Regions from separate parts of the Mus musculus genome. Here regions 1, 2, 3, 4 and 6 are each reported to be linked to region 5. The links are microRNA targets in miRTarBase. Many come from high-throughput screens and were not tested one by one. Region 5 holds a microRNA gene; each other region holds the end of a gene's coding sequence.

Region 1 (5,089 bases), not on the chromosome of region 5:
TCTGTCTTATTCTAGTGAAGGGTTTTGAAGAAGTCCTTCCTTATGGCTGTCATGACTTAAAGGCATCAAATGGCCCCCACACGATCATTCTAGGGTACAGCCTGACTTTCATGGGTAATTATTCTCATCTTTGGGCGTGGCCTCTCTGTCTGGTGGTCTTCTGCTGTGCTGGGAATCCAAGATGACTTCTGGAGGTCAGATTAAGGACATTGATTTCTGTCTCTGTCTCTTTAGCCTGGAGACAGGGACCAAAAGAAGGCAGAGGTGCTCGGCTTTCATTTTTTAGTTATCTTGAAGGCCCAAGGGGAAAAACCAAAAACAAATGTTTGCTTTTTAACAAAACAACTTCCAAGAGCACGTTTTAGCCCCGCCTCCTCTGGGGGTACCAGCTGCTTCTTTGGTCACTTTCACATCTTTAACACAAAGGGCTTCTTTCTTTCTCAACCCGGGAAGTCCCAACCCCGGAAGTCCCGACCCCGGAAGTCTGACTCTGGCTTCTAACCAGTTCCAGGTGATTCTAAGTAGGGCCTCTGTTAGCTTTCCAGGATCCAAACAAAGCAAATTCCTTTCTGTTCCTGAGGATCCCTCCTACTGTGGTTTGGATGTAAAAAGTTCCCTTAGGTTCATATATCTGAACACTTCGTCCTCGGCCGGTGGGGCTGGCTTGAAGGACTGTGAAATCTTAAGGGAGAAAAGTCCTGCTAAAAAGAGTGGGTCTCTGAGGTTTCATAGCCTAGCCCACTTCCTGTCCAATGTCTGCTCTCTGCTGGCAGGCTCAGCACGACCAGCAACCTCATGTGCCTGCTACCATGTTTCCCTCTCCTTGATGGAGTAGATGCATCTCCTCTTAGAGTGTGTGTCCAAATAAATCCTTCTTTTCCCAGGTTGCTTCTTGACACAGGTATCTGGTCATAGCAACAAGTCACTAACCCCTTCCCCCTATGGATTCTCCTTTCAGTTGTTTTCAATCTTTATGACACGCCTCATCAAGTCTTTTCATTTGTCTTACCCTTTTTAAAAAAATCTTATTCTTTGATCATTGTGTGCACGCATGGTATGTCTGTGTGTGTACATGCCACGGGGAGCATGTGGAGGTCAGAGGACAACTTTACTGATTTCTCTCCATCCACCTTAAAAAAAAAGTATGTGTATGACTATTTTGCCTGCATGTATGTCTGTGTCTCACATGCATGTCTGGTGCATGTAGAGGCCAGAAGAGGGCATCAGATCCCCTGGAAATGGGGGATCCAATTGGTTGTAAACCACCATGTGGGTACAGGGAATCTGACCAAGGTCCTCTGCAAGAGCAGCCAGGGCTCTTAACGGCTGAGCCATCTCTCCATCCATCTTCCACTTTGTCAGTCTTTGCCTACTGAGCCATCTCTCTGGCCCACTTTCCTTGTTTTCTTCATGTCAAGACATAATCAAAACTGAGTTGTCTCTCTGCTCTCCTCTGTCTCATGTGTTAGTTGTTGTACAAGCTTTCCTGTCTTGCCAGTTCCTGCCTCTGAAGGCAGTAGAGAGTACCAAAGTCAAACCTGGAATTGAAGGTTCCCCTCACTGTTTCCCCATGCCACATATTCCTTCAGAGCCTAATTTCTTATCAGTGCATTGATATGTGAGCCTGGGCAAGACCCACTGGCTGGCTGCATTGTAGCCTTGACAGGGGCCATACGGCTTTTCCCCCATCTACAGAATACAAGTCTTGCTCAAAGGTCCTACTGAAGCATGTTTACCCTGGACCCTAAGCAGAGGTAGTCAGTATCTCCTATGCTCAGCAGTGTGTCGTCCCTTATGCTTCTAGAAAGCCAAGTAATACATGGGTTTTCATGCTGGTTGCTAAGCTTAAGTCCCTGGCCCATGGAGTACAAGCAATGTTATTTGTTGACCTGTCACTCACCCACCCATTCATCCTGGTTATCATTCTGAGACAGTCATGTACACAAACCTGAACATCACTGAACTTCCATACGGAAGCACCCATGCGTGTCACAGGCACTACACAGACACTGTAAATCCCAAAGACACCCAATACTCTGCTGCTGCTCTGGGTATGTGATAAATTGTGTCTTTGACTGTTTTTCTTTGAAAGTTCTGGGGCTCATTAACCATTGAGTTGTTGTCTAATAAATATGTTGAATAAATGAGCTGACTCCTAGAAACCAATGGGAGGCTGTGTTGGGGTCTGTCTCCCAATTGTAAAGGTATCAGTTACAGATAGTTTAAAATACTCTACCATACAAAGCATTTTCAGCATAGATGTGCACACACCAGCACAGCCCAGCAGAAGCATGCAGTAGTACTGTAGGAAGGCAGTCCCGGACACCACAGTATGTTTCTGCTGTGACTGAGCCTTGCGAGCCCCATGTGTGACCGTCATAAGCCAACTTTGCTGAGTTGGATCTTTCCTCTCCTCTTCATGTGGGTTCCATGATGACTCAGGCCATCACACTTATGTAGCAAAATCTTTTACTGGGTGAGCCACTTTGCTTCCCTCCTCCCCAAGCTATCCTTTGCATACACCATGTGTGTCACAGAATCTTGTTCACCTACCTTCAAACCTTGTATGTCCAAAAACAGATGATAGAAGACCTGGGCAGATCCTCTCAGTGAAGCCACCTTAACACCTTAAATGTCCCAACCTTGAGGTGAAGTGCTCACTCAATGGCAAAATGGCCTACGTGACAATAACCATAAGATCACAAAGGCCCAGTTTGCTTTAAAGTCTTTATTATCCTGAATATAAAAGACAGAAGTCCTCTAGGATATAACAGAGTTTTTTTTTTTTTAAATGTGGAAACATTATTTTTTTTACAAGTGAAAAAATAAATACCTCTTGGAATAAAGGCTTATATGCTAATATGTGCCATAAAAAAGTAGAGTTTTAATATCTGACAAAATGTCTGTGCAAAGAAACAAATGCATAAACACATTACTGCTACATTAAGGCAATATGAAACGTAGACTCAGAAATCTCAGTAAAGTGACAGTGTAGGCTTCTAGCTTTAACTTAGCTAGTATTGCACCCGATGAGGTCAGCTAGGTTTCCTGACACCCTAGAAAACCCCCTAGCTCACTAGCTTCCAAAATGCCCAAGTGGGGGTGAAAACTTAGAATATGGAAACATAAAGAAGTAGCCCTACCTCTGGAAGACACCGAGGGGGCAGGACAATGAGTATGGAAGCACTGACATAGGAAAACTCGAACAACGAGAAACAAGACATACACAAAAAGGAGACACTATCTAGAAACCTATAAGGCTGTAGAAAGTTTGATCTTCAAGCAAGGCGACACCCATGGGTGCAGCTGGAGTGAGTGCTTGGGAAAGTGAAGAACCACTCGGGCATACTGAGTGGCTCTCTGGCTCATCTCTCTCTCTCTCTCTCTCTCTCTCTCTCTCTCTCTCTCTCTCTCTCTCTCTCATCTTTTTCCTTCAAGGAAGCTACTCTCGCTTTCCAATCTCCAAAGCCCAGGGAGTGCTTGACTCTACCATGTATGTCTCTTAACCAAACTGGTAGCATTTTTATCAGTGAAAGGCATGGGGTGTGGAATGAGGGGAAACGGAAGGGCTCTAGGAAGGAAGTCACCCACGGTGAGTTACCTATTGGCTCTCAGCCAGACTGCTTCCAATCTGACAACATTGCTGTCAACCCTTGGGAAGTCACAGGATTGCTTTTTTTTTTTCAATCTGCCAGCTTTTCCAGTTGTTCTTGAATGAGTTATAAAGACAGAAATGACTTTTATAATGAGGACTATTTCTTTAAGAAAAAAAATCCCTATTAAAAATATTCAGCGCTCCATGACCATACAAAAAGAACCAAGGAAATCCTTAAAACACTTACAAAATCTGCTGCCCGGGGAAAAAGTGAAGGAGACATATGACGTCATTTCCTAAAAGGTGCCCACGGTTGGGCCATGTTGCCACTTGACTGACGAAGACGATTCTATCTACTCCTTTACTTGATCATTAAAAAAAAAAACCAACCCTAAAGTTCAAGGAATGTGTCCGTGTCCCAGAGTTCTTCCTGGTGGCCATGGGGCCTGTTGCTTCTCCTCACGGAAGAGGTGTGGTCACATTCTTGTTTTCTTTTCCTCCTTGTTTCTGAAAATGTCTCATGGCAGATGGGTGTTGAGAGTGAAATAGCTCTTCACAAAGTTATTATTCTTATAGTTTACAATACTGCAGCTTGTGGGGACATGGCTTGTCCATCGAGTGCAGGACGCATCAGATGACAGTCAGATTGAGGAGACTGGTGTGGGTGGGCAGGTAGACGTGCTGGACATGCTCCACACGGGATCTGCAGACCGGACAGGACTGCAAAAGAAGCCACCACTGGTTAGGACATTTGTGGGACCTGGGAGTTCAGCCTTGGTGCCCCGACAGTCAGTTTTCTAGATACGACGCCACTGTGATCCAGTTCTAAGCTTTCAAGTGCTCTGGAACAGGCTTGAATATTTATACTTTATACAGATTAACAACGAATGTTAGGAAAAGACATCCACTGAAGAAAACTATTTTCTGTCAAACTGTGTGTGCGTGCGTGTGTGCGTGTGCATGTGTGCATGTGTGTATGTGTGACCAATGGTCATCCTCGTGTGTCAGTTCTCAAAGACCTCAACCTGTTTCTGGACACAGGGTCTCTCAGATGGAGAACACTGGTTAAGCTGGTCTGGCTGGTATTCGAGCCCTGTCGTTCCTGCCTTTCCTCTACCTCCTTTGCTAACACTAGGATTAAAAATCCCTGCAGCTGTTTCAACCCTGACCCCCCCACACACACAGCTTTTTAACTAGAAGGCTCTAGGGACTGAACTCAGATCCCTGTGCCCTGCAACACAGAGAGTTTATTGGTCCAGCCACCTCCCTAGCCCTTCTGTTAGCATCAGTCTTCCTTTTGTCCAGGCTGGAGCCATGCATACAGGAAGAGGTCCCTGTACCTCTGGCCACCATGGTGGAGGTATGTCTGTAGAGAGACCTTAGTTCAACTATCTTGGGGTCATTATCAGTGGGCAGATGCCCTTGTGGCCAGGGGCAACAAGCTTCTAGTGGCTTTTTGGCACACACCCTTCATTGGCTACTAAGGAAAGAGGC
Region 2 (5,078 bases), not on the chromosome of region 5:
AAGGATGTATGTATGCATTATACAGAAACTTGGAAATATTTTATAGTTATTGCACATTGTACTGGGAGAACTGGGACATTGCTACTTGTGGGTGTCTGTCATGCTCTCTATCCAGTATGAAAAGAAGCTTTGATGAGGGGTGAAAGTTAAACTTCTTTATTTTTAGATTAAAATTCTTTTTAATTTAAAAAGGCATCAGGTTTTAAATACATTAAGAATTGAACTCATATTTTGACCCCATCTCCGAAAATTGTCATTTCTGTTGTTATCTGGTTATTATGTCGTGTATGTATAAAATCAATAAATTGTTCAGGAGTATATATCTGACCATTATGTTACAAAGCAACAGAAATACATAAAATCAAATGAGATGTGCAAATATGCATATATGTATCTCAAACACATGACTTAATAAGGTTTTTTTGATTCAATAGTAAGCTGTAGACAGATAGAGATGCACATTAAAAAAAATTTTTACCATGATCAGGATCCACTACATTGCCTTGCATATAACAGTAGATACTGTATAAGTGGCTTGGTCACTTTCCAAGCAATTATTTCTATTTAGATGTCTTTGCCCAATATGAAAATAATGAATGTGGGTGGGAGATTGTTCATTTTTCTTTCCCCAGCAACTATTTAATGCCTGCATCTTGGCAAGAGCTGCACTTACCTGCAAACATCATGATGTCATTTTCCTTTATCCTGTGGTGTATCTGTGCCACATTTGCATTGCCCGTCCATCACTCGAAGGGCATTTAGGTGGTTCCCCCTCGCTAGCTATGGTGAACAGAGCAGCAATGGACACTGCTAAGCAAGCATCTGTAGGAGGATGTCCTTTGGGCATATGCAGAGGAGTGGATCTGAGTCATGGTAGATTTACTTTTAGCTTTTTGAGCAATATTGAGCATGCATGGTTTCTTATATATGGTCCCCAACTGGTAGAACTATTTGGGAAGGATTAGGAGTTGTTACCTTATTGGATAAGATATGTCACTGGGGTGATCTCTGAGGTGTCAAAAGCACACACCACTACCAGTTAGCTCTCTGCATCATGTTTATTATCTAGATGTAAGCTCTGGGCTACTGCCTCACCGCCATGTTTACCTGCTTGATGTCATACACCTCACCATGATGGTTGTGGGTTTGAAAGACTCCGTGAGGAGCCCCTCGCTCAGGCGTCGGGACAATAGCGGACACCCAAGAACTCATGAGAGACCAGGCTTGATGTAAACCACATGAGGCTTTATTCGGGGAAAGCCAGAGCTCTGGGGACGACTCATATCCCACGCAGGGGTAGAGGATTCGACCACGAGGGGAAAGGCCAGTTTTTATAGGCCCTCAGGGGGGAAAGGAGAAGGGAGGAGTAGGGGGTTTCCAGAACTAAACAATGTCTATTCTCAAGAAATGGGTATGGGAGGGGTACAAGGAAAGAGTCTGGTGCAGGTGTAGCAACTCAGGATTGGCCCGGCTGTGGTTGCTGGGAAGATTTTCCGACTCTTTCTCAGCAACCAATATCACAAACACCTGGCAGTGAGGTGCAGCAGTGGGCACACACCTGGGTTCAAGGAACGGTCAAAACATTGGCAGACACACGGGTTCAAGGAGTGGCCAGAGCATTGTGCACCTCTATTTTTCTAAATCAGTGAAGCTAGTTCTGCTAACAGTGAAATCTATCTTGCCAATTTCAGGGCTTCTGTGACCTTTTACATTCTGTCAGGATCTTTCAGGCTCACCCACTGTAAGGACCAATAAACTCTTTCTCTATAAGTTGCCTGGGTCCTGTTTATGCTAGAACAGCAATTGTAACTAAGATAAAGGCTATTTGGTACTCCACTATACAGGCAATTGATTCACGCTGTCCTGGAGTCTTTGTCCTAGGTTATACTTCTGTGAGTAGTGGGGGTAGCGGCGGGGGAAGGGGGGGAAGTACCCACCATGCATGACAGGTAGACTGGGAGTCTAAAAGTTTACATTTAGTGTAAAAATGTATAAATGTGTTACTTGTATCATTCCATGACACAGAAAATAAGGTGCTTTCCCAGGGTTTATGCTATGATAAAAGGCAACCCCCCCTCTTTTTTATGGAAACAAACGTGTTTTTAACACCATGGTACTATGTCAAGTCTTTATTAAGTAATGTACACATTATTACAGTTAAGAAATTGTTGATGTCCAAAGAACCTTGTATATGTGAAATCTTAACTATACCCTTAACAGAGGGGAGACTACCAGGAAGGTGACTAGGGATAAACTTCACAGGACTAAAGTAGAAAAATATATGAACTTATATCTAAAGGGAAAAAAAGGAGAATTCTACAAAAGTTTACAAGTTAAATGAGAAACACTGTAATAATAAGCATCATAAAAGATGTTCTAGTGACCATAATAGGCATACGGCACATGGTCGATACACATGGATACCACATAATTAATGCACTTCAAGTTGAAGTTTGTTCACTTTGTAACAGTACAGTACGCATACATAAATACATACATACAATAATACCCCTGCAATGCAAAATCCAATACCTAGGAAGGAAAAAAAATTAGTGTAGCATATTCAAAAGAAAATGATTGATGTGCAGCCATCAGAATCAGGGAAACATGGCGTGCCTCGCTTCTGTGGAAGCTGACGAGAAAAGGCCTGTCTACTCAGCAGTCTGTTAGAGGTTGGAGAGGTTTGGTATATTCTAGGAAGTCAATGAATTCTTGTGAATTTCAAATACGGTACTAAGCCCAGGATTCTCTTCTACTTGTTCTCTACCTCTGGCTTCTCTACCAGCTTGGCTTTGTTTCTTCTGACCCCTAGCTCTCAAAGGGCCAAGTTATTCAACAACTGCTGTGGTCACACTGGCCCTAATCCCAGCACTCAAGAGGCTGAGAGCCAGTGGATCTCTGGGAGTCTGAGGGCAGCCTAGTTTACACAGTTAGTTCCAGGCCGGCCAGGAGTATATAGTGAAAACCTGTCTTTGACAGACACAAAAACCAAAATGATATTGAGATATAGATTTCTCCTATAAATTTTGTGAGACCCTCTCTTACTGCTGATAGTCAACTTTTAGTGGATCTCTTCTGCAAATATATAAACCTACAATACCCAAGGCCCCTCACATAAAAATGAACTAAATTTGCATTATATGACTCCATCCTGATATATGACTAAGAATATTCTAGATATTAAGAATATTCAAGATACAACGTAAACCAGACCTCTACTTTTACAGAGCTTTTATGCACCTCAAAACTTTCTTAAAATACTGCTTCCCATGTACATATTTGATGAGTTAAAACTTTCACTACACAGTGAAAATATTCAGTGTTTGTCTTATTAGTTTTTTTAATATTAAATTTGGTTATAAATGAGACACATAGGAAAGAAAAATAGAGAAATTTCTATGCTAACAAATAATTGAAAAGTCAAATGTAGTAAGAATTGAAGGCCCCTTCCAATCCTACCTATTTTTTTGGGTTTTCGAAACAGGGTTTCTCTGTGTAGCCCTGGCTGGCCTCGAACTCAGAAATCCACCTGCCTCTGCCTCCCAAGTGTTGGGATTAAAGGCGTTCACCACCACTGCCCGGCTCCAATCCTACACTTTATCTTATAATTTATCTTTTGAGCTTTCCTTGCCAAATCTGAAACAAAAGCTAAATAACACAAAAATTAAATGATATGCTTAGTGCCACAAACTGGTATGGCGCTTAGCATCTATCTCAACTGTTCACACACATTTTAGCACAGTGGCTACATACATATCCTTTCTCTGCACCCCAGAAAGGTTGCTGAAATACTACTCCTTCCTTAGAAGAAAGATATGCAGTAAGCTCCGAGTTATACCTCAGTGGAATGAAATGTCATGTTTTTCCTTAGCATCTCGCACTGGACTAATGCAGCAGACTGTGGTGGCTCCACACGAACTCAGAGACTAGTGAAGGCTCTCTAACTTCCAAACACTGTCACCTGAAGACACGGGCAGGGCAGCAAATCAGCGTACTTTCAAAGTTTTCTTCTTTCTGAACTCAATATTTACACCTAGATTTCTCACATGAGAAAAGTAAGACAAACCTTCCTTGAACCACGGGTTTAAGTTTACGTAAAATAAATTAAAGTGCAGAAAATTATAACAATTGGTCACAAAGACCAGCATCATAATGCAGCCGGGGTATATAAATACCGAACTTATCATTGTCGTACTGGACAGCCACCTCTCGGTGTCTCAGGAACACACAAACACGTGTGGATTATTAGGCATGGACGTTGGCACTTCCATTTCCACCTCCACCTTCCAGGCCCTCTGCAGACTGGGAGGAAGGAGGGCGCGGGTTTCTGGGGTGGGGCTGGCCACCGAGTCCCACTTGTGTGCTTACACCATGACCTGTTTGCGAAGCTGCATCATCCGATTCCCAGCGCTCCAGCTCTTCCCGCACCAGGCGCTCCATCTGCTCCCTGTGGATCTCACTGTCCCGACCCAGTCGCGCATCCTGACAAGGGATTTAGAGAAACAATGGAAACCAGGGCAGTGTGTGCAGTACGTTATATATTCTACACGGAGAAGGGGTTAGAAATTTTAGGTGAAATGAGCTATAGTAACTCAAGACTGCAGATGGGAACAGTAAACGATAACAATTCTGAGCCAGTGGGATGACTGTTCACTCAGCGGTATCTTCTACCCGGATGGCAGCGCTCTCAGAGGAAGGGGAACCTCATGCCTGCTGATTACTATTTGATCTAAGGCTATATATGGAGGAAGAAAAGCACGGGATTAAGAGTTACAAAATGTGATGTGTTGAGAGTTTTTGGTGTCGCTTCTAGGAATTTGGCATTTGTCACTGGGCTTGAACAAGGAAGTAGGCTCAGATAAGAATGTTAAAAACCATGGCCATGGGGCTTTGTTTACTGCTTTGCCCCTTGTGTGATCTCTCTGCTCTCTACTTGTCTTAATTATTCCCTTGTGTGATCCTTTTGCTTACTACTCTGCTAGATTACTGTCTTGTGTGATCTCCTTGTTTACTACTTCGCTTGATTACTTTGTCTTTGATCTAAGAACTGACCATGTTTTTTGGATGTACCTAGATGA
Region 3 (5,089 bases), not on the chromosome of region 5:
AAAAAGAAAGAGAGAGAGAGAGAGAGAGAAAGAACAACATAAAGCTGTTGCTTCTGCTGCAGCCAGGACGTGGTGGGCGGGGTCTGTCCCCATCGCCATCCTCCTTGGTGGTCTTCACCCTGAAATTCTTTACTCCAGCTGTGCTCTGCTGCGGGTCTTCACTGGGGGCTCAGGAGGTGAGACAGGATTTGTGTGTGTAGCTTTGGGTGTCCTATAACTCACTCTGTAGACCAGGCTGGCAGCTTGAGATCCGCCTGCTATGGTGGTGCACATAAAAAACAAAAATCCTTTACATTAGGTCTTACGCTGTTAATAATTTCATTGTTACATAGGGAAAGTTACTTACTCCTTGGCACTCAGTTAACTAAGGGTGTAAAAAGCTTATTTGGGGCCACACTCGATGGTGGATTCCTTGACTGCTCTGCTGTGTTCTTTAGCCAGGCCTCAGCTGCACCAGCCCCTGCACTCGGGAGGAGACCAGACAGCCAGATCGCAGCAGACAGTTCTCCTTTGGAGGTGACCTCATTCTCTTCTCACCACTATGACCCTGAAGGGAACACCAGGAGGGCTTTAAATTTAACATGACTTTTAATATTAATTTAAATAAACATTCAGTGCTCGCCTTTAATCCCAGCACTCCGGGAGGTAGAGGCAGGCGGATTTCTGAGTTCGAGGCCAGCCTGGTCTACAGAGTGAGTTCCAGGACAGCCAGGACTATACAGAGAAACCCTGTCTCGAAAAACCAAAATAAATAAATAAATAAATAAACAAACAAACAAACATTCTTTTCTTCGCATTGTTAATTCTCTGATAAAGTGAGATAGTTTTGCATCTGCCGGCTCATTTTATAGATTTTCATTTGAGCACCTGTATCTGTTGACATCAGGATAGTTTGGTTTTCCTGTATTCCTTTAGATAAGGTTTCCTGAATCATGAAGTGCACTGATTATAGTTACACTGTTCAATCCTTGCTGCCTCTGGTAATTTCCCCTTTAACAGAGCTAGCTGCCATGGACAAGGATGAAAGAGAGAAGAATCTTTACAAAAAAATCTGGAATTTCAGGATGCTGTGAGCTATTTCACATGGGCGCTGGAAAGCCAGTCCTCTGGAAGAGCAGTGTGTGCACTTGGCTGAGTCGCTACTCCAGCTCTGATTTTATAATCCCTTAGCGTCATGACCGTAAAACACTGCTGATACGGGAAGGAGATGGCTCAGAGAAAGGCACTGTCCTCTGACACCACCTTCATGTTGTGGCATATTTCAGCCCTTCCCCTCCCCCCACGCACATACATACATACATACATACATCATACATTCATACATACAGTAGAACATAAGTGACAACTCAGTGCTACCAACAGCAAACAGTAGCAAAAGCTAACAGCCCTACCCTGTGTTCCCCGTGTTTCCTGTGTTATAATTTGGCCTGAGTGCTTTGGAAGGAGACATTCCACACAGAATAGGAACCTTACAGGTTTAGGGTTAGACATTTTCAAGAGAAAGTTTAGTCTACTTTTGACGTCAGAAGTAGGTGTGTTTGGCTTTGGGGAAAGATGGTGCTTATCATGACACCCAAACAACTTACTGGAAGGTTACTTGAGGAGTTTGCATAGAGGAATGTTCATAAAATGCCCCCCCTTACCAAAACCTGAGGCGGCATGGAACAGCTTGCTAATGGATGACGGAAAGTTATGGGTGGAGAAATTGCCTGGTGGGTAAGGACACCAAACCTGAGAGCAATGCCCGGAACCTACATTCTGGAAGGAGAGACCCAGCTCTCTGTACATTCTTGTCCCATCAGTTGCAATTGCAAGTGCTTGTTCTTACAGACCTCTTGATTTCTGTTTTCCTGGGACGCCAGCTTGTGACATTCACCAGTTTAAACTAATCGAGAAGATAACGTTGTAGAACAAGACTTTTGACCTTTTCCTACTTTGAGCTTACTGATAATAGGAAAGATAGAAAGTGTTAGGTATGAGAATGGACATGAAAACCAAGACACAGTCTTAATGGTGTTGAGTACTCATTTGAAGGCAATAACCTGGGGCTTTACAGGAAAAATGGGTTTAAGACCAGCCTCCACAACAGATAGTTCAGGACTATATACCTGATTGTCCCATAATTGCAGTGATGCTGGTGTGAGCGACCTGCTCCCAGTCGTATAGAGCAGAGTCTGCATGGTACAGAATAATGCTGGAAGACAGTGTGCAGGGTCAGCACTGGCAGCAGCCTCACGTCGTTCTTTCCTGTTCCTGATTGGCCCTTATCTAGGGTTGTGTAAGTGCACCCTTTGATCTTTCCTTGGAATCGCCGAGCAGCGCTAAGCAACACAACTCTCCCCAGATGCCGACGGTAACTGTCTGCTGTTGAGCTGGCGCCATTCAGCGTATTTCCTTTGTAAAAATCAGGATGGTTTATTGATAATTACATAGTTCCCTTTATATAAAACTGCACCAAATCAAAGGGCATATAAAGACAGGCAGCTGGAGGCATCAGTGGACCTGACCTGTCTCAGGAGGATCTGAGACTGGTTCCCAGCAACCTGGTCACACAGCTTACTTACAACCACCTGTAACTCCAGCTCCAGGAGGCCTGGTGCCTCTCAAGTGAGCAGGCACCTGTACCCATGTGCACAGACACACAACACACAAAGTTTAAAAGGCTAGGGATGTGTAGCTCAGTGAGAGAACACTTGCCTAGCAGTCACGAGCAGTCCTAAGATTTGACATCCAGTATCATAAAAACCCCCAAAGCGATGGGTATCTCTCAGCATGAGACTTTATTAAATGGATGTCTTACAAGAAGGATAAGGAGAGAGAAATGCAAAGTTTCCCACTCCTAAGGCACACAGGGCCGGTTTCGGTGCCGCCCCTTCTGGCTTAGATCATGGCGTGGTTAGCGCTGGTGAGGGTTATGTCACCACTGATCCCCAGTTGGCTGATTTCCCGGAGGTTCTTCATCCGATGGTTGTACTGCAGTAGGTGAGCATCGTTGACCGCAACCTTGAAGTGGTCAGCTTCAACCAGGACTTGTATCTAGGAACCAAACATGGGAAACCGTCAAAAGCATATAATAACCAGTACAATTTAGGCATTCCACCATGTGTGTTTCCCAGGACATACTGTCTGCCGTGTTTTGTTTTCATCTGCCATTTTTATGTAAAGGAAATATATATTGATTCCTAAACCAGTGTATCCTTAGTTCAGGAAGTTTCATTTTTACTTTTACTTCTGGAATGAAAATGACCCAGAGCAGTAGCTGGATAGCAAAAATGAATCTACATTGTCCGATCTAAAACACAATAAAAAGATATCAAAGTTATCAGAAGCACTCAGGAGGCAGATCTCTGAGTACCTGGACAACCAGGGCTACAGAAAGAAACCCTATTTTCTCAACAAAAACCAACCCAAAAGCTTAATGGGTCCATAATACCAAAAGTTAAAAACAGCAACATAGGAAGGAATCCCTTAATGACAAATTTATAGCCAGTTTTGGGAAGGCTGGGAAATACTTTTTCCCGTAGTTAATGAACATTCATCCTTAAATCCTGTAAGTGGACTTTTGTGATAGAGACCAGCGATGCGCTATTGGAAGATTGTTTGGAGAGGTGCCCGTGGCAATGGGGAGGCTCCTGAAGGAGCTGAAGGACACGCTGCTCCTGCCTCAGCCCTAGCCTGTTGAGGCTGGTTGCTGGGGTGGGGAGGAAGATTGGCCAGGTGCCTAGGACAGGTTTTTCCGTGATTCCCCTTGGTAAGAGAACGCTGTGCGCATACAGCCAAAGCCCCAACTTACTTTGAATGGTTTGCCACTCTCAAAGGGGAAGGCTGACTGTCTTTCTTCCTTTCCCCAGTTATTGTCCTGCTTCGTGTTACACACAATGACTCTCCTGTTGTTCTCATTGAAGCGGGGGTTAAAGTGGAAGGCAACATCATTCCCTCTCCTGAAATCTAGAACAATCCTGTTTTAAACCAGAAATAGAAGATAATTAAAGTGTGTATCAAGTCAAGAACATTTAACTTTCTAAAATGCAAACCCTTTCATAACATGTTGGAACTGTTTTTTTTTTTTTTTTTTCGGTTCTGGAGGCAAATAAGCCACAGTATCAGATCCAACTCAAAAGAACGGGCACATCCTCTCATTTGTTAGTGTGATCACCTCGAAAGTCAAGTCCAGCGGGACGAATCTGCCTTGTCTGGTCATTGAGACAGGATCTCACTATGGAGCCCAGGCTGGCCTCCAGCTTGTGACTCTCACCTACCTTGGCCTCCCCAGGGCTGTGATTTTAAGTGTGTGTCACTAATATCCATCAAAAGCAAGCCAGCTACCTAAGAACTATCGAGTACCTGACTTTGCCATGGTTAACCGGAAATCTCAGAACAGCAGGGTACACGGATGTAGCTAATGTTTCCTTCCTGGTTGCTACGTGGTAAAGTCAGGACACGAGGTGCGACTGGCTAAAGTGCCCCGTGAACTTTCTGACCCTTTTTGTTCTTGTGTGTTAATGCAAACTCAAGTCTGTTGTTAAGGGACTGGCCCTACTGGGTGTCTTAAGGTGAGCTCCCTACAGTAACACTAGAAGCTGATGTCTGTGATCTAGACCCAACAGTGATTCTTTGGGTATTCTGAATAACTCAGGAGCAGTTGGGGAATGTGACCGTAGTGATTGGGTCCACTGGTTCTAGTTCTCCCGTGGACAGAGATTGTCATCTCTGTCACACAAGCACTTTTTCCCCATGAATTTGTTAGGGTGTTTGTGGGTTCACACAGTTCTTTTTCTGTTTACTATTTGACCCAGAATCAGTTTTGAGTTGTCAGTACATGTAGTCTACATGTCAGTATTGTAGGCTACATTACTAGTGTTACTGGAACTAAATTATCTAGTGCAATAACCCTCAATTGTTAATGTTAACTCTATAGTCTGCGCTATGTTGGAACAGGTTATATAAATATATATTTTGAGAAGAACATACACATATAACCCTCATACATATGAGAGTATTTACTGTGAGACAAGTTATACCATGTGATGGGACACCAAACTTAGAGCATCTCTCTAAGCCATGTGGAAAGAAGAGTGGCTTGGGACAG
Region 4 (5,000 bases), not on the chromosome of region 5:
GGAATGAGACATGCACATTCCATATATAGGAAGAATGATAGGTGCCCAGGTTTCCAGTCCTCCACCCAAGTGTTTCGTGGTTTTGTCTGAAGAACCAACCCTAAGCTAGAACTGAGCTATGACACATGGTCTTGTTTCTCTTTATTATTTTCCCCTTTCTCACCCAAGTACATTTTTACAGGAAAAAGCAAATCCCAGTCACACTACTTCTCCAGGGATTCTCTCAGGGCTTCTGCCCTCGCATGCCCACTAATCTCAGGATCCCTCGCCTGCACCTGCTACTGAAGCCCACTACGCCTGCTGCACCAACACCTAACTGCTCCTTCCTCTCTGTCTCCACCAGAGTCTGAAGGAAGGCCTGACGGTGCAGGAGCGCTTGAAGCTCTTTGAATCCAGGGACTTGAAGAAAGATTAGCTGCATCCATTCCACTGACACATCCTTCCCAGCTGGTGGCAGCACAAGCCAAGCGTGGTTTTCATCTTCACCTGTGCATCTCATTGTTGCTGTCATTAACTGTGGGGATGGATGCATGAGAGACTGCTGTGGGGTGCTTGCTCCAGTCCCTCCCTGTCAATTCCAACTTCCTGTTGTCTTTATCACAGCTTTTTTCCCATGGTATTCTCAGATTAGTCACGCGCAAGCAGTAGAGTGGGACGGTTTCCCCGCTGATACCTGAGCAGCCCCCTTGTCCTCCCAGCACACTCACTGTCAGTATTAAGGCACAGCAGCCTGTTAATAAGCTAGCCCTGCCTCAGAGTGCACATGTGGGGACCTGCCAGTGGCTCTGCTCTGCCGCACACAGCGGAGCACCACCCTTGATGGTCAGAGCAGAGCCACCGAATGTTGTAGGCTGGCCTGATTTCTGAGGGGCCTAGGAAAGTGTCCAGCCTGGCCCACTTCCTTTTGATGTGGGAGGGGGACAGCATTTTGTACCTGGCCACTGATGCAGCTTAGAACCATACCCAGATAATCCGGCAAATCCTTCACAACCTGGAAAATGTTGAAAGCAACCATTCCTATTTTGGTTTTTTATTAAATCTTGCACAAAAGCCCCGGCCCCTCTCATTCCTTCCTCCGCTCGTGCCTCCCTTGCTGTGCTAATCCTGGTCTTCTGGTGGCCCGGAAGAGTGACTTGCAGCCTGAAGCTTCAGACTTGTCAAGTGTGATGGGTCCTCAAAGTCCTCTGGAGGGGAACATTGCTGGGGTTTAATCTGTCTGAAAAGAAGCTGCCATGCTGCTTGGCAGGGTGAGGAGAAGCCCGTGTGCAAAGACAGACTGTCAGGACTGGTGATAGCAGCAGTGTGTGCTCAGGACCCTCGTTAGTCTGGGCTCTGGAAGGGTCCCTTGAATTGTCTGCTTCTCATGGAGCCATTGACAGGGAGCCTGTGCTAACTCTGCTTTTCTAGCTGAACAGGACCTGAAACTACCCAAAGCAGTCTGCAGCATTTTCTTTAAAAAACAAACCAACAAAAACATTTTTCTCTATTCTCATAAGAAAACATTCATACTGTAAGATGCAGCACACAGGAGTCCCCATGTCAGATGGGAGAGGCAATAGCCTCATAGCTAGATATGCGATCTGGCTTCTTAGTCCTGGCTTGTTAGTGTTAAGTGGGTCAGATGGATGGTCTCTGAGCGTACAAATTCAACTCATGAGTCCCCTAAAGGTTCTACATGAGTTGACGTACAAGGTCTAGCTGGCCTAATAGACAGGCAGGTCGAAACTTCAAGATAACGGATTTGTTACATACCAAAGTGTGCCACTGACCAGCAGGCAAGCCCTGGGCTCCCCTTTTCACACGTTTTTAAGTTCCACTCTGGCACATGCTCAGTGGTCATTTATGTTTTCAGCATTATGGGCAAGTCAGACCTGTTAAAACAAGCTTTGAGCTCAGAGTGGGCTAGCCTTCAGGAGCCTGGGGTTGTGCGTTGAGGACTCCTGTTCTCTCATACGGTTTCCTTGCAGCTATCCTGCTGCCCTTGGGACCCTCTGGCCCCATTGCATTATCTTCCTGCCTTGTGCTTCCTGGGATGCTACAAAGAGCCTGCGGAAGATGCCAAGCCTACCATTCAAAAGGACACTTGATCTTTTGCTCTTCACCTCAGAATCCTAGGATATGAACTTTGCTGAAGGTACAAGTACCTACATGTCAGAGGCAAGGGCTGGGAGACAGGCACGCTGCACCCATCTAATCTGTCACTCAGGGCTCCTACTGCAGGCTCGTTTTTGCTGTGATAGAGCACACACTGCTCTAGGGCTTGTTTCACGTGTGGGTATCTGGTATGTTGGCCAAATGCTGAACTGGCAGACATTCCTGGATCATCCCCCACTGTCTACGCCAGTCTGAGCAGTAACATGTGCAGGATCAGGGTGCATCTTGATTTTCTTGATGGTGACTTCTGGCAAAAATGAACCAAACAAGAAGTTGGTCTTCCTGAGTCCCTGAACTGCCGGCCCACTGCAGCAGTTTATTTTAGACTGCCACATGTCTTCTGTCCATTCCCTTCCCTCACTCCCTGAGCCAGGTTCACTTTTGCCTGACCCCTCTACAGGCTTCCCATTCCCTGGAAAGAAGTTGAAGTTGGTGTGTTCAGAGAAGAGGTATGGAATGTGCAAATGGAGTTGGTTCAGGCATATGTAAAAGAGGATGCTTGGCTGAGAATGGGTAGTGTAGATCAAGAAGTCACAGGCTGCTCCCAGTACAGTCAGTCAGTGGCATGCTTTCTTTTACACATTTGTGGTCTACCAGCATCTACAAGCAAACTACCATTACAGGGAACATACCATTTGACAGTGAATGTAAATATATGCTTAAATTACATCTTGCAAGCCTGGCATGGTGGTGCACGCCTTTAATCCCAGCACTCGGGAGGCAGAGGCAGGCAGATTTCTGAGTTCGAGGCCAGCCTGGTCTACAAAGTTAGTTCCAGGACAGCCAGGGCTATACAGAGAAACCCTGTCTCAAAAAAAAAAAACAAAAACAAAAACAAAAAAAAACAAAAAAAAAAAACTTCATCTTTGCACGTGTGATGCCGAGCACATCTGCCACACAGGGCTACTGGCTGCACCTTTTCCAGTATGGTTGTGGCCACAATGCCACAATAATAGGAGGCCAGAGCCCCATGAAGTAGGGAGTCCCCAGAGGGAAGAACGCTAGGAATGTGTGCATTCACTGAGTGTAAACAAAGGTCAGAGTTGGCAAACTCCATTGGATCTAGCAGAACACTGAACTGGGCGCACTCACTCATGTCTGTACTCCTACCACCTGACGCTCCAAAGTACAAGGTCAGTCTGGGCTACATAGCAAGACTATCTCACATACAGGTGGGCTAAGGGCATGGATATAAAATATATAAAATTTGGGGTTCAACTACAGCACTACAGAGAGCACACTTGTGGTCTTTGGAACATTTGTCCAAAGGGAGCCTGAGAGATTTGACTAGGAAACAAATGGGTATGAAAGATATTTGAAGGAATGTGTACTACTGTTAACCTCTCTACAGGGGGAGATGGTGCGCTGACTTCTTTCTACCCTGGAACTGCAGAGAAAGCACCGCCTCACTGCTGCCACCTAGCTGGCGCCGAGGGAAGTAGCTGGCTAGCACACAGCCTGCACTGTTGGGTGTGAACCAGGGCATCAGCTTAGTTAGATTCCTGCAGGCCTGCCCCACACACCTGACCTCCAACTAAGCCTGGCTCTCAAAGACAGGCTGGATAAGCACCCAGAGGCCCTATGCAGCCTTCCCACTCATGCCATACTCCATGTAAGTAAGCCAGTGCAAGCTGCACACCAAAGTCTGCTGGCAGCTACAGGGACAACAGTAACACCCAAACCCCAGACTCTGCTAGTGGAGAGTCAGTAGTTACCTCTTGGCCAGCGGAGGGTTAGCTGTTCATGCTATGCTGTAAAGATGACATCACCTAGTAAGCTACTTAGAGGCTATCAGTGTAGGGACTCATACAGCCTTTCTCATTAGAGCTCCCAGCATACATACAGGACAGCCTATGGCCTGCACTTCACTTGCTCAGCCTTTCCTGTATATCAGAGCAAGCAATATTAAGTATTTCTAAGGCATGGTGCAGGAACTTTTGTGCAAAGTTTGTGTGAGTTTTAAAATACCCCTTTTGAAGGTATGTAAAGGCAGTGTTCAGTGCAAACCCCTCTCAAATGTCAAGACCATTAGTTGGCGAGGCATGGTAGCACACACATTTAATTAGCACTTGGGAGGCAGAGAAGCAGGCTAAGTTCAAGACCAACCTGGTCTACATAGAGAGTTCTAAAAGATTTACACAGTAAAAACTGCCTAAAAATTAAACAACAAAAAAGACTATGTTAATAAGTAATGCCTTTTAAAGTTTTGGTTACTCAACAGACTCTGAAGATATCCTTGCCCACACTCACAGCAAGCTCTGATTCTTGTTTAAAGTATTCTGTGAGACTTGCATAGAGCCACTCAAGGAAAACCAGTACTATGAGGGACTCTTGGCACCTTGCCCTCAGGTTTCTCGGGGTGTTTTTCTTAGGGGAACTGGCTGGAGCATACGCTGCTTCAGGTCCAGGAGCCTAGCTCTAACAGCGGGGCTGGACTTGAGTGCAGAGCAGCCCAGCTACCCATATCTCTAGCGACCTCACTGTATATAGCATGAGACTCCAGGTAGCTCCATGACTGTATTTCTGTACTGGTAAGGAGGTAGCCCATCAGTAGAGTTAAAAGTGGGACAGTCCAAAACTAAAGGACTTCAGGGCCTCTCCAGTTTCGCATGGGTCACAGGTCAGCCTGGAGCAGCTTCCATTGTGGGGCAGGACCTCATTGCTGGCATTTGCCATAAAGAGATACCACTGTTAAGAATCCTAGCCACACAAGCCCACTCCAGCTTGCCACAGCTGACATGCCATTGGCTCATCTCTCCTTTACAAGGTAGTCAGACCACACATCTAATTTTATTTGAGCAAGCTATAGATTGTAAAGAACACTAAATTCACTATTATGTTTTGTT
Region 5 (5,089 bases):
GTGTTTTCATAGCTGGGATGCAAATAGCTCCTCCAAGTCACCTTTGGCAGATAATTTCTGAATTAGTGTTTGTCTTATCCTTCCTCCCAAAATCCTTCCTCCCAACCAACCCTTTGTCTCTCCCCATTTTTTTTTACCTCCCTGCGCTTTTGTTTGTTTTTTTGCAGCTCAAGTGGCCTTTTTAGGTGGGTACTCATCGGCTGCCTTTAGACTCTCTGAGCCTCTCTCTCAGGCCTCGTATCTTTCTCTAGGCCTGGGACTTTGCCTTCAGTTATATGCACTTTAAATCCCATCAATAAAGGAAAAAAAAATCTAACAACCTTTGTGGAAAACTATATCTCTCCTGCTGCCTACCTCTCTCCACACCCCATAGATCCCGCCATGTGCTCCTTCGAACGGACAGCAGGGGTGGCCATCTTTGAAAAGGGAAGTTTGGGAGATACTGATGGGACCTTAGTTGTTGGTGAAGCCTTTCTTTGCATGTTTTCTGAGAAAACAGAAAAAGGAAAACTATCTCCTCTACCCCACCCCTCCTTCCGTGAGAAGAACCAAGAGAGTCCAGTCATTTCTGTATCTTCGTGAGCTTCTTCTTGTTTTGCCCTTGACAAAGATGGCTCCTGGGTGGTTGCTGGCTCGGTTGATTCAGTAATGTATCCTGTGCCTGCTGATCCGGCCTGTGCTGCTGCTGCTGCTTTGTACAACCTGATTTCCTATGATTACGGAAGCCTTATTGGATTGGTGGTGGCGACGGAAAGGGAAAGGGTGGCCCTTTGGGACTGTTGATAAAAAAAAAATGCTTAAGTTTGAACTTGCTAAGTCTTCCAGCCTCTTTTCTGGAGAAATGATGCCAGTAGACTCTGCTGGATATTAGCCATGGGGGAGGGGGTGTCTGAGCAAGTACATGCTGGTTGGAGTGTTGAATTAGCTGTGACCCTTCCACCAGGGGGTACAAGGAAACAAGTCATGGCGTAAGGGAAGTGCCGTCCTCGGGCCCCAGCCGTGCGGCTGGGTGAAGGAAATACTCGGAGGACCAGACAAGGCACGTGGAGTGGGTGAGGGGCAGGCACGGAGGCAGTGCTGTATCAGTGCAGTATCCTTCCAGGAATTAACGTCTCCGTTCTGGAACCCCATTGCCTTTCCGTAAATGACAAGAGAGTTGGGTCAGTACATCCATACACCCCCTGTTCTCCCCAACTCCCCGCTGCGTGACTGGACATAGGTATGGTGAGTCTCCAGCAGTGCTGGTTTCTAGAAAGAACTTAGCAACTCAGCCTCTGCAATATGCTTGGGAGCCTGGGAGTGCCCGTAGCCAGAGTACTCTTTGGGGATGATGTAACACCACAGAATATGCTCATGACCAGCTCTGCTAGTGAAGGCCCATTATAAATCACAGATATATTCTTCATGGGGGAAAAAAGTCGCTTGAAGATATAATAAAATCATGCTTAAGAATGCAGCAAGCCTTTTAAAAACATATTTAACAAAAAACTACCCTTTCCTGATACCATAATAATATTCCCAATAAATCACCAAATATGAATTCCTTGTAGCTAGCGCTGTGTTTACACTCAGAACCAGAGCCTAAATGAAAAGTTTTAAAATGAAAACAGCTACAATTTCCCTGGGAAGCACATAACAACTTAAAAATCGTTCCAATTCCACCAGCACCGTCCCTACCCATCGACAGGGAATTAAAGATCTGCAAGGGCCCCAGACATGAGACTCAGAGAGATGAAGTGGTGGAGGTCACCCTGCCCAAGGTCACAGAGCCAGCTGGCCCCCCACACCAGGCATGCAGCTCTTCCTGCCATCATGTTAAGGGTGAGCGGCTGTACACTTGCTGCTCAGACCTTTCCCCGTTCACCCCGGAAGCCCTTGCCTTTTCAGACCTGAACAAGTGGATCTGAGATAGTAAGACAAGGAAGACCCAGAGCCCACGGGGACTGGTCGCAAATGCAGCGCAGAGCAGTAGGAAATGACAAGATAGCGAGCTCCATTGACTGGCCACACATGTCAGCATGAGAAATGGGAGTAGGAAAAAATAAAAATAAAAACCAGCGAGACAGCCTGCCAAGGACACCAAGTGTGACGGCCAACTCCAGAGGATGCCTGATCCCTCCCCCCCCCCCACCCCCGGTTGAGTTTCAGGCCACGGGGTCTGGCAGTGCCATTTCATCCTATCTGGTGGGAATGTCAGGGGAGTCAAAGAAAGAAGTTCAAGGCTCCCTAACTGCTGAGAGCAAACTCAGGGTAAGAAGGCTTTCCGTGGCGTTCATTCATTCAACAGCTATTGGCTGAGCCCCTGTTCTGCAACAGGGCCTGGGTAGGGCTCTAGGTTTGTAACAGTGAGTAAAGATAACATGTTTGATACCCCACACGCACACCACCTTCCCTCCAGCTGGATGGAAAAAGCCAAGTATAGTGTGGGAGGGGACTATAAGGGGCTTTCTTAAAAGTCTAGCTAGGTTCTCAGGTTACTGCGCCTGAGAAGCAAACACTATGCATTCATTTATCCGTGTGTCCATTCAGCAAGTGTTGATTAAGGACCTCGTGGGTTTCTCATGAAGAAGGTAACCAGCTCCCCTCAGTGAGAAGGTTAAGTCTCCTACACCCAAGAAGCTTATATTGGAGGAAAAAAATACCAGGTTAAACTTTATGGAAGATGGGCAGACTCTGAACCAACCCAACATCACCTGCCCGCCACTCACCAGGCATCCAGATATTGGAGCTGGGTGCCCCTGGCTCCAGACCTTCATTTCACTTCCTGAGCGTTATCAGCCACGGGTGAGTGGGTGCAAGCTTCAGCAAGGCTTAGGAGGCCACTGTCCCCATCCCCTTAACTCCTCCACTTCCTCATCCTGAGGCTCATGGCCTCTGAGCCCTCGTTGTCCACTTTGGAGCACACACACCCATCTTTCTTCTGTCCCATAGACCCACTTAGGTCCCTGACATCTTTTTTTTAGGTTATGCTCCAAGTTGTAAAAAGTAAAAAAAAAAAAAAAAAATGGAAAAGCCACCTTCAGGGCAGGTGAATAACACATGATCAACTCTAGCCAAGGCAGAAGTGGGATCCTTCCCATCCTTCGTTCCATTTTTCAAGAATACCCCCTCAAAACGATCTTTAACAATTTTAATAGTAATAATAACTACAACAATAATATCGCTTTTACTCTGTCTGATGCAGTCTCCTCCAGGAATGTTCCCCCTCAGAATGACAATAATGGCTTTCAGTGAGTGAGCTCAGCGTGTCTAGGTTGGACATAAACTCTTTACAAGAACCAACTCGCTTAATCCCTGCAGCAATCCCTAGAGGAAGAGGCTATAATTATAGGGGTGGGTTAAGTGGTTCCTCGGGATCACACAGCTGGGATAAGCAAAGGTGGGGTGGCGTCCCAGACAGTCTGGCTGTCTCCCACTAGCATGCTTACCTGCCCTGCCGTGCCTACCCACTTCATTCAGGTAGCCAACTGGTTTGGGCAGAAGCCACAGTCTCTCATCCTTCTCCAAGTCAAGGGCTAAGTGGGAAGGGAGAAACAGAGTTCCCAGAGAGCTGAGAATTGAAGCAATCCTACCAGAGTCACACCAAAGCCTGCAGGAAGAGCAGGCCACACCCACATGGAGAGCGCCCTCACCAGGCCAGCCTGGTCACTTTCTCCAGGTCACCTCCATCACCAACAGTCCCAACTCTGGGAAGGTGCCATTCCGAGGGCCAAGAGTCTGAATATGAGTCACTCTGGCTGCTATGGCCCCCTCCCAGGGCTTGGGCATCACATCCCTACCAAGAAGGCTGGACCAAGCAAGAACTCCAACACAGCCTCTGTTAGAGGAACATGGAGACAGAGAACATTTCATCATTTCATCATCTCAGGGTTCCAGAGATTCCAGACTCCAACTTCAGGAGGACAGTCAAATCCCTCCCCTTACCTCTCTGCCCATGGTCACCGCTGTCTCATTCCTTTTGTAAGCTCAGTAGCCAAGCCACAGGGAGTCAGAAACCTGCCAAGGGCTGAGGTTGTGTTTCCTTGGCAACAGGAACATCCTGGAAGGAGGAAGAAGGAGGCAGGCAGCTAGGGCTAGTTAACAGGACAGATAATCCCACTGTCCTCTGCCCTCAGCAGCTCTGCCCTCTTACACAGCACTGTGGAACAGTGGTTCAGTCAGAGGGTAGACCATCAGAGGAGAAATGAGAAGCAAGAAGACACAAGAGCATCCTCGGGGAGAAGTTAACATTTACGGAATGCCCACTATATGCCAAAAACTGCATAGATGTCTGCATTAATCCTTACTCCATCCTGAAAGGCAAATGTTACTGGTCTACTCTATTACCAAGGAAACTGAGGCTTGGGAAGAACAAGCTACACAGGGTCAGAGTTCACTGAAGTGGCTGACGATGTAATTTAGACCCCAAACTGTCTACTCTGCAGCTTGGGTTCCTAAGCTGTGTGCTTTCAGTTTCCAGGTAATTTGCACCTGAGGGAGTTATGTAACCAACTGGTCACTGATAATCAAATACAGACCACTATGTGCTGCACATTATTCTAGTGGCTTTGGATATTTATCGGTGAACAACACTGGCAACATCTCTTCCATGTTGACATTTGGCAAGGCATGCTCGTATAAACATGACGGTAAAAGTCTTGTGTGTTAGAAAATCCTGAGTGGGGGAAGAGGGGAGACATTAAGGGAGTTTGTGAGCACCTGGGTAGAGGCAAACTGTTACTTTAGGTAGGGTGGGCCAGAGTGCTCAGCCCCTAGAGGAAAAAAAAAAGATATTTAAGATTTAAAGTATTTAAGATTTAAAGTAGGTAAAATATACTTGAATCTCAGTTTCTCGTCTCTAAAATGAGTATGAAGCTTACATTTATTAAACTTGAGTTTTAGCAGTAACGGATACCTCACAGTTATTGTATTAAACTTGCCACAGTGTCTGGCATGGAGTGCACCTCCTATAAATCAGAGATCTCATTATTAATAAATACCACAATTGATGATGGAGCCAGGTTCTATTTGATGTCAAAGCTCCCATGCTCCTCAACAGTTGTGCCTGGAACAACCAGAGGTGTGCACTGTCTGCCCTGGGATGCTGCAG
Region 6 (5,089 bases), not on the chromosome of region 5:
ATCATATGATCACTTAGGTGGTCAAAAAATGTTGTACTAAGGTATTTTAGAACATTTTGATTTCTTGTCAACTAGGAACACTCAACAGAGAAAATGAACAATAAAGTGAAAATTAAGACGAAAATTATTTTTTTTAAGTGGTGAAACTTTAGGATTGGAATCCAAATACTTGAAGAGAAGAGAAGCTAGCATTCCTTTACGCGGACTTAGCCAGAATCTGTTGAGTGACTCAGGTGAGGAGACCTGTGACTGAGTGAGTGGAGTGGTACAGTGTGGATCATTACATGTGCTTAAAGCAGTGACATGCTACGTGCTTTGTCTCTTGCAGACCATCAGAAAGACGGCATGCTGGGAGCGTTCCAGCTATCTTCCAAACCCACCGTTCTCCCCTCCTCGTCTTCAGCCTACTTCCCTGGGCAGTTACCAAGTAGTTAATCCAACACCTTTTACTGCTCACCGACAGTTTAGGAATTCAAGTGATTTAACAGACTATTGATAACAAAATCAATTTTTTTCTGGTTCCTGTTAGGTCATTTGGATCCTTTATAATACTGCTGCCATTTACAAATTTAGGAAATTGATAAGGATGCTGAGTAAATGGTATTTTTTTTTCTGTGAACAAAACAGAATGTTTCAAAAAGTCACTGGATTGTATCAGATTCTTACCAGTTGGTCTGCTTAGGGACACTTTATCAAGATACACCTGCAGGGAATATAAACTGAAGACTTGTGATTCATTCGATCATTTTTATTGTAAAAAAAAAAAAATCTTAATCTGCCACCTGAGAGCTGGGAGAGCTTCCACCTGTGACCATTGAGCCTTACATTGACTTTACATTCAGTTCTCATACAACTTTCAAAGTTTTTTTTTTTTTTTTTTTTTTGAGACAGGGTCTATTATTATGTAGTTCAAGCTGTCCTGGAACTGGCTATGTATGTAGACCAGGCTGGCCTCAAACCCAGATCCACCTGCCTCTGTGTCCCAAGACCTAGGACTAAAGCTGTGTACCCACCAAGCCTGAGTTACACAATATATTTGGTTTATAATTTCTCCTCCCAGATGGTCTCCAGTTTCCTACCCACCCAATTTTATGTTCTTTCTCCCTTAAAAAAGAAAATAAAAATAACCAATCAGTAAGATAAAAATATCAAACCAGCCGGGCAGTGGTGGCGCACGCCTTTAATCCCAGCACTCGGGAGGCAGAGGCAGGCGGATTTCTGAGTTGGAGGCCAGCCTGGTCTACAGAGTGAGTTCCAGGACAGCCAGGGCTGTACAGAGAGACCCTGTCTCGAACCCCCTTCCCCCCCCCCAAAAAAAAAATCAAACCCAAAACAGTGTATTCGACCTTGTGCTAGTCAAGTCCTGGGTATGGGCATTTGGAGTTTGGTTGATGTACCTAGTGACACTCTTAAGGATTTTGAGTGAAATTAAGTATTCATAGTGAGTAAATCATTTTCTCTGAAATAATTTTTATATAAAAATCATTGGGACAGTGTATTTACATGACTGAAGTGCTTTAGTCATCTGGGCATTCCATAAAGATCATCAGTGTAATAACACCATAAAAGTTCATGGGACTTTTTATAATATTAAAATTTGTCATCAGTGTTAATAAAGCAGGAGGAGAGTTAACTATTGGAAATTACAACTTCCTCACTATTAAAAACTTCCAAGAACTATTCCTTTGAAATTAAGTAGTTTTAAAAAACAAAATGAAACAAAAAACCAAAAACAACCCTCTATAATCTTAGAGGTCTAATTTTGTTTTCTTGTTGACAACCACCCAAAGGAAATTAAAATTCCAAGACCCCAAAAATCTTATCTGTAAAATGTTAACAATCATGTGATATTTTAAGTTTCAAGGGGCTGAAGAGATGGCTTAGTGATGATCGGCACTAGCTACTCTTTTCAGAGGATGTGGGTTCTAATCCCAGCACCCACATGACAGCTCACAATTTTGTCACCCAGAGTGCATCAGGCATGCATGTGGTTTCTAGGCAAAACATTTATACACATTTTTTTTCAAGTACTTTACACTGTTGCAGACATTTTGAGACAGTGACGTAGAATCTTTAGCCTCACTTTCAGGATGATGGCTATTGCTAGCTGTCTTCAACGAGGGCTGTTATCACAGTTCAGTGATGGGAAGAATATTGCTATAACTACTTGAAAGCACTTATTCTGGAAAGAAGTCTCTCTATGCAGCACAGGACTGTTGTAAATACTATAGAATAAACCTAAGAGCTATGGCAGCCTTTGGAAAGGGATACAAGACATATATAGCTTTTTAGAAGAGATACCCTCCCCTTACTATTTATAAACCTGTTTCCACGATAGGACAGCTCATTTCCACGCAGGGTGTTGGTGACCTGTCTCTGTGCTAAGTGTCCACACACACAGATAGCGCCAACTCTCTGCTCTACCTCTTCTGCTTTTGTCTGAAATTGTTTTGTGTTGTATAACTGTACATGTGTTAACCATCAGAATGTTGCTTTTTGCTATTTCTGAAAGCTGTGACCTTTGTCAATAAAGCACTGAGGCTTGAGCGTTTTATATGCAAGAAGCATGTTTAGGAAATAAAAGACTAACTGTGCTTAGGAAATCAAGCATTTCCGGTTGACCTACACACTTCGTTATTTTTATCTTCAGGCTTTTTGTTTTGTTTTTGGTGAGGTGAGGTGAGGGCAGCAAATGGATTGCAGAAGGTAAGTTAAGGTAAGAGGATTTGTTACTGTAACAAAGCCTAAACCGGCCTTACAGGGAGGGACTCACAGATCAAGACCTTTTTAAAAAGAAAAAAATCATTAAAATATTTAATTTTATTAACAGAATATTTACATTTGAGACCTTATTTAATCATAGTGAATGCTCCAAGTTTAAAAAGCATTAGGCAGTAACCACACACAAGATGAAAACAGTGTAAACTATACAATACTTTATGTACATTTTTACAAAGTAACACTTTTTTAAATAATATAACTGGACACAAAAATATACACTTTAGAGAAATTCACATCAGTAATTGTATAAAGCTCTCTTCTAGGGTCCTGAAAATTTAGGACAAACATTAGCTCTGTAAATAAAGTGTTACTGTGACAGTCCTGAAAGGCCACTATATATATTTATCTACATATAGATATCACATTGACATTTTCAAGGCTACCAGCTTTACTATATAATTTTTAGATTATGTATTCAAGTGTTGAGGTCCTTATGATTATGCAAATATCAAAAGAATAGTGGTATAAGAAGCAGAACAGATTTAAACAGATTGAGCCAGATGGCTAGGCTCTGACCACCCCAATTTGAATTCTAAGTGGCTGATCTTTTCATTCTTCAGAACAGCCGTGAATAATGCTTTAAATAAAATTATGGCAAACAAGCTTGAAACATGATTCTGGTTTTCTACAATTTTCACAAGTTCTTTTAAATGCAAACAATTCTTTACCATTTCTTTTCTAGTGCATCTGCATTAAGGCTTTGAATTATTTGACCCAAGATTTTACAATGACTCAGGTTTTACAAGGTTAAAGCAAACAGGTCCATAACCATCCTGCCTAGTGTCGCTGAGTCAGCACGAGCAGGTAAAGGCTCAACACCTAAGGAAATGGCAGAGACGGAGTTACAGATAGAGCTTTAATTAAAGATGTGTAATAAAACAGTTTAGTGGCAAGAGAGTGGTGCTAATATAAACAAAAGGTTTCTTTTTGAAAGAAAGTGTAACATCTTTGGAAAACTGTCCGGTTCTTTCTTTAGTTCCCACGGAGTTCATGCAAGTATTTCTTAAGACAGTCTTAAAGTACACTGCAGATGGAAATGGAATGTACATCCAGAGCTACAGGTGAAAACTAAGACCTGGGTGCTGCGAGAGAGAGAAGTCTTCCTGATTTCCGTCACACATTCGTGTCCTGGAGTAAAGGTTCTTTGGCCTCTCCTGGCGCTTGTGTACTGTGAGGATGGCTGTGACTGCCACAGTGCTTCCTCCAACTGCTGGACCTTAAACTTAAATTAGTGTGTTCCGGAATAAACAAGGCAACGAGCAGAGCCAGCAGTACCGAACAGGCTCCAAAGAGGAAAGGGGGACCAGGGATGATGGAATTCTGAGGAAGAAACAATAGTTAATGTTTTTTGCACAAATACTCCCCCCAGCCCCCGTCCCCAGCCTCCAATGTCTCAGCAACTGTCTGCTCAGATTTTCTTTTTTTTTTTTTAAAGTCAATGCCTTTATTGAAGCAATAGCTATAAAATCACTTTTCAGGAGAAAAGGTATTTTTATTCTTATTGTAAAATCCTGCCAACAAAAAAATGGCAAAGTGGGCTGGAAAGATAGTTCAGTGGTTAAGAGCGCTGACTGCTCTTCCAGAGGTCCTGAGTTCAATTACAGGCAACCACATGGTGGCTAACAACCATCTGTAATGGGATCTGATGCCCTCTTCTGGTGTGTCTGAGGACAACAATGTGTACTCAAACCTTTAAAAACAAAAATCAAAAACTGGCAAAGTAACTTGGATAACTGTGGGTGGCTTTTAGCACAGAGCCTAAACTACACATGTTAATAATACACCTGTAGAATCGTGTTTCAAAAATAAATACAATGCCACTAACCACAAAAATAAAACATTTTAGCCCAAATCATATTCATTGTGGGCAAAACCCTACAGAAACCCTGTTTCTGTTGTATATGGCCCACAAAATTAAATAGGCTTGCCTGGGGTTCAATTCTTGCTTAATCGAGAAAACTGCAGAGATGTTAGTATTGGCTCAGTGGTCCATGTGGTTTGGGGTTGGTAATTTCAGTTGGGAAATAAAGCAAGCAAGTCAACAAATGTCCACCGTGCGTACATTCCATGTGGCCATAGATGGCAGCTGCCCAGCACTCCAGAAGTCAGAAGGAAAGAAAGTAGCAGGGTGGAATGGAGATGTGGCTGCCATGCCATTAGGCACAAATTGACAAAATGTGGTTTCAGGTGATTTTTTCATTTTAGTTTTTGCAAGATGATACTCGGGAAGAATAGTCTCTTAGGCTTTAGTTATTTTTTTTTTTAAGATTTATTCATTATTATATGTAAGTACTGTAGCTATCTTCAG

The links. The annotated mature microRNA mmu-miR-3085-3p reads UCUGGCUGCUAUGGCCCCCUC and lies in region 5 at 3,733-3,753, shown strand. An mRNA with a match to its seed (bases 2 to 7 or 8) in the 3' UTR can be bound and repressed. Matches are read on the target gene's strand: a 7mer-m8 pairs with bases 2 to 8, a 7mer-A1 pairs with bases 2 to 7 and ends in A, and an 8mer does both.
Region 1: miRTarBase lists Mylip as a target of mmu-miR-3085-3p. Seed matches in the 3' UTR shown: 7mer-A1 at 3,360-3,366.
Region 2: miRTarBase lists Pkd2 as a target of mmu-miR-3085-3p. Seed matches in the 3' UTR shown: 7mer-m8 at 3,502-3,508 and 7mer-A1 at 2,769-2,775.
Region 3: the mRNA of Dlgap5 is a reported target of mmu-miR-3085-3p. Seed matches in the 3' UTR shown: 7mer-m8 at 706-712.
Region 4: miRTarBase lists Mprip as a target of mmu-miR-3085-3p. Seed matches in the 3' UTR shown: 7mer-m8 at 2,935-2,941.
Region 6: miRTarBase lists Sass6 as a target of mmu-miR-3085-3p. Seed matches in the 3' UTR shown: 7mer-m8 at 1,261-1,267.

What each region holds. Positions count from the first base shown.
Region 1 is chr13:45,409,647-45,414,735 of GRCm38, reverse strand. It overlaps Mylip (myosin regulatory light chain interacting protein), which reads right to left. Exons shown (of 7, transcript NM_153789.3): 7 at 2,796-4,315. The coding sequence ends at 4,226. Among named protein-coding and RNA genes, the nearest start is that of Mylip, 22 kb to the right of the region's middle.
Region 2 is chr5:104,502,856-104,507,933 of GRCm38, reverse strand. It overlaps Pkd2 (polycystin 2, transient receptor potential cation channel), which reads right to left. Exons shown (of 15, transcript NM_008861.3): 15 at 2,115-4,482. The coding sequence ends at 4,246. Among named protein-coding and RNA genes, the nearest start is that of Thoc2l, 3.0 kb to the left of the region's middle.
Region 3 is chr14:47,383,472-47,388,560 of GRCm38, reverse strand. Dlgap5 (DLG associated protein 5) reads left to right here. Exons shown (of 19, transcript NM_144553.2): 19 at 438-782. The coding sequence ends at 545. It overlaps Lgals3 (lectin, galactose binding, soluble 3), which reads right to left. Exons shown (of 6, transcript NM_010705.3): 5 at 3,794-3,959; 6 at 2,394-3,036. The coding sequence ends at 2,881. Among named protein-coding and RNA genes, the nearest start is that of Lgals3, 12 kb to the right of the region's middle.
Region 4 is chr11:59,775,173-59,780,172 of GRCm38, forward strand. Mprip (myosin phosphatase Rho interacting protein) reads left to right here. Exons shown (of 24, transcript NM_001368931.1): 24 at 344-5,000. The coding sequence ends at 415. Among named protein-coding and RNA genes, the nearest start is that of Gm51899, 8.4 kb to the left of the region's middle.
Region 5 is chr19:42,278,759-42,283,847 of GRCm38, reverse strand. Mir3085 (microRNA 3085) reads left to right here and starts at 3,678; the gene lies at 3,678-3,766. It overlaps Crtac1 (cartilage acidic protein 1), which reads left to right. Exons shown (of 15, transcript NM_145123.5): 15 at 168-813. The coding sequence ends at 286. It overlaps Gm34347 (a long non-coding RNA gene), which reads right to left. Exons shown (of 3, transcript XR_386718.4): 1 at 3,925-5,089.
Region 6 is chr3:116,628,380-116,633,468 of GRCm38, forward strand. Sass6 (SAS-6 centriolar assembly protein) reads left to right here. Exons shown (of 17, transcript NM_028349.3): 16 at 139-233; 17 at 329-2,607. The coding sequence ends at 435. It overlaps Mfsd14a (major facilitator superfamily domain containing 14A), which reads right to left. Exons shown (of 12, transcript NM_008246.2): 12 at 2,785-4,101. The coding sequence ends at 3,895. Among named protein-coding and RNA genes, the nearest start is that of Trmt13, 16 kb to the left of the region's middle.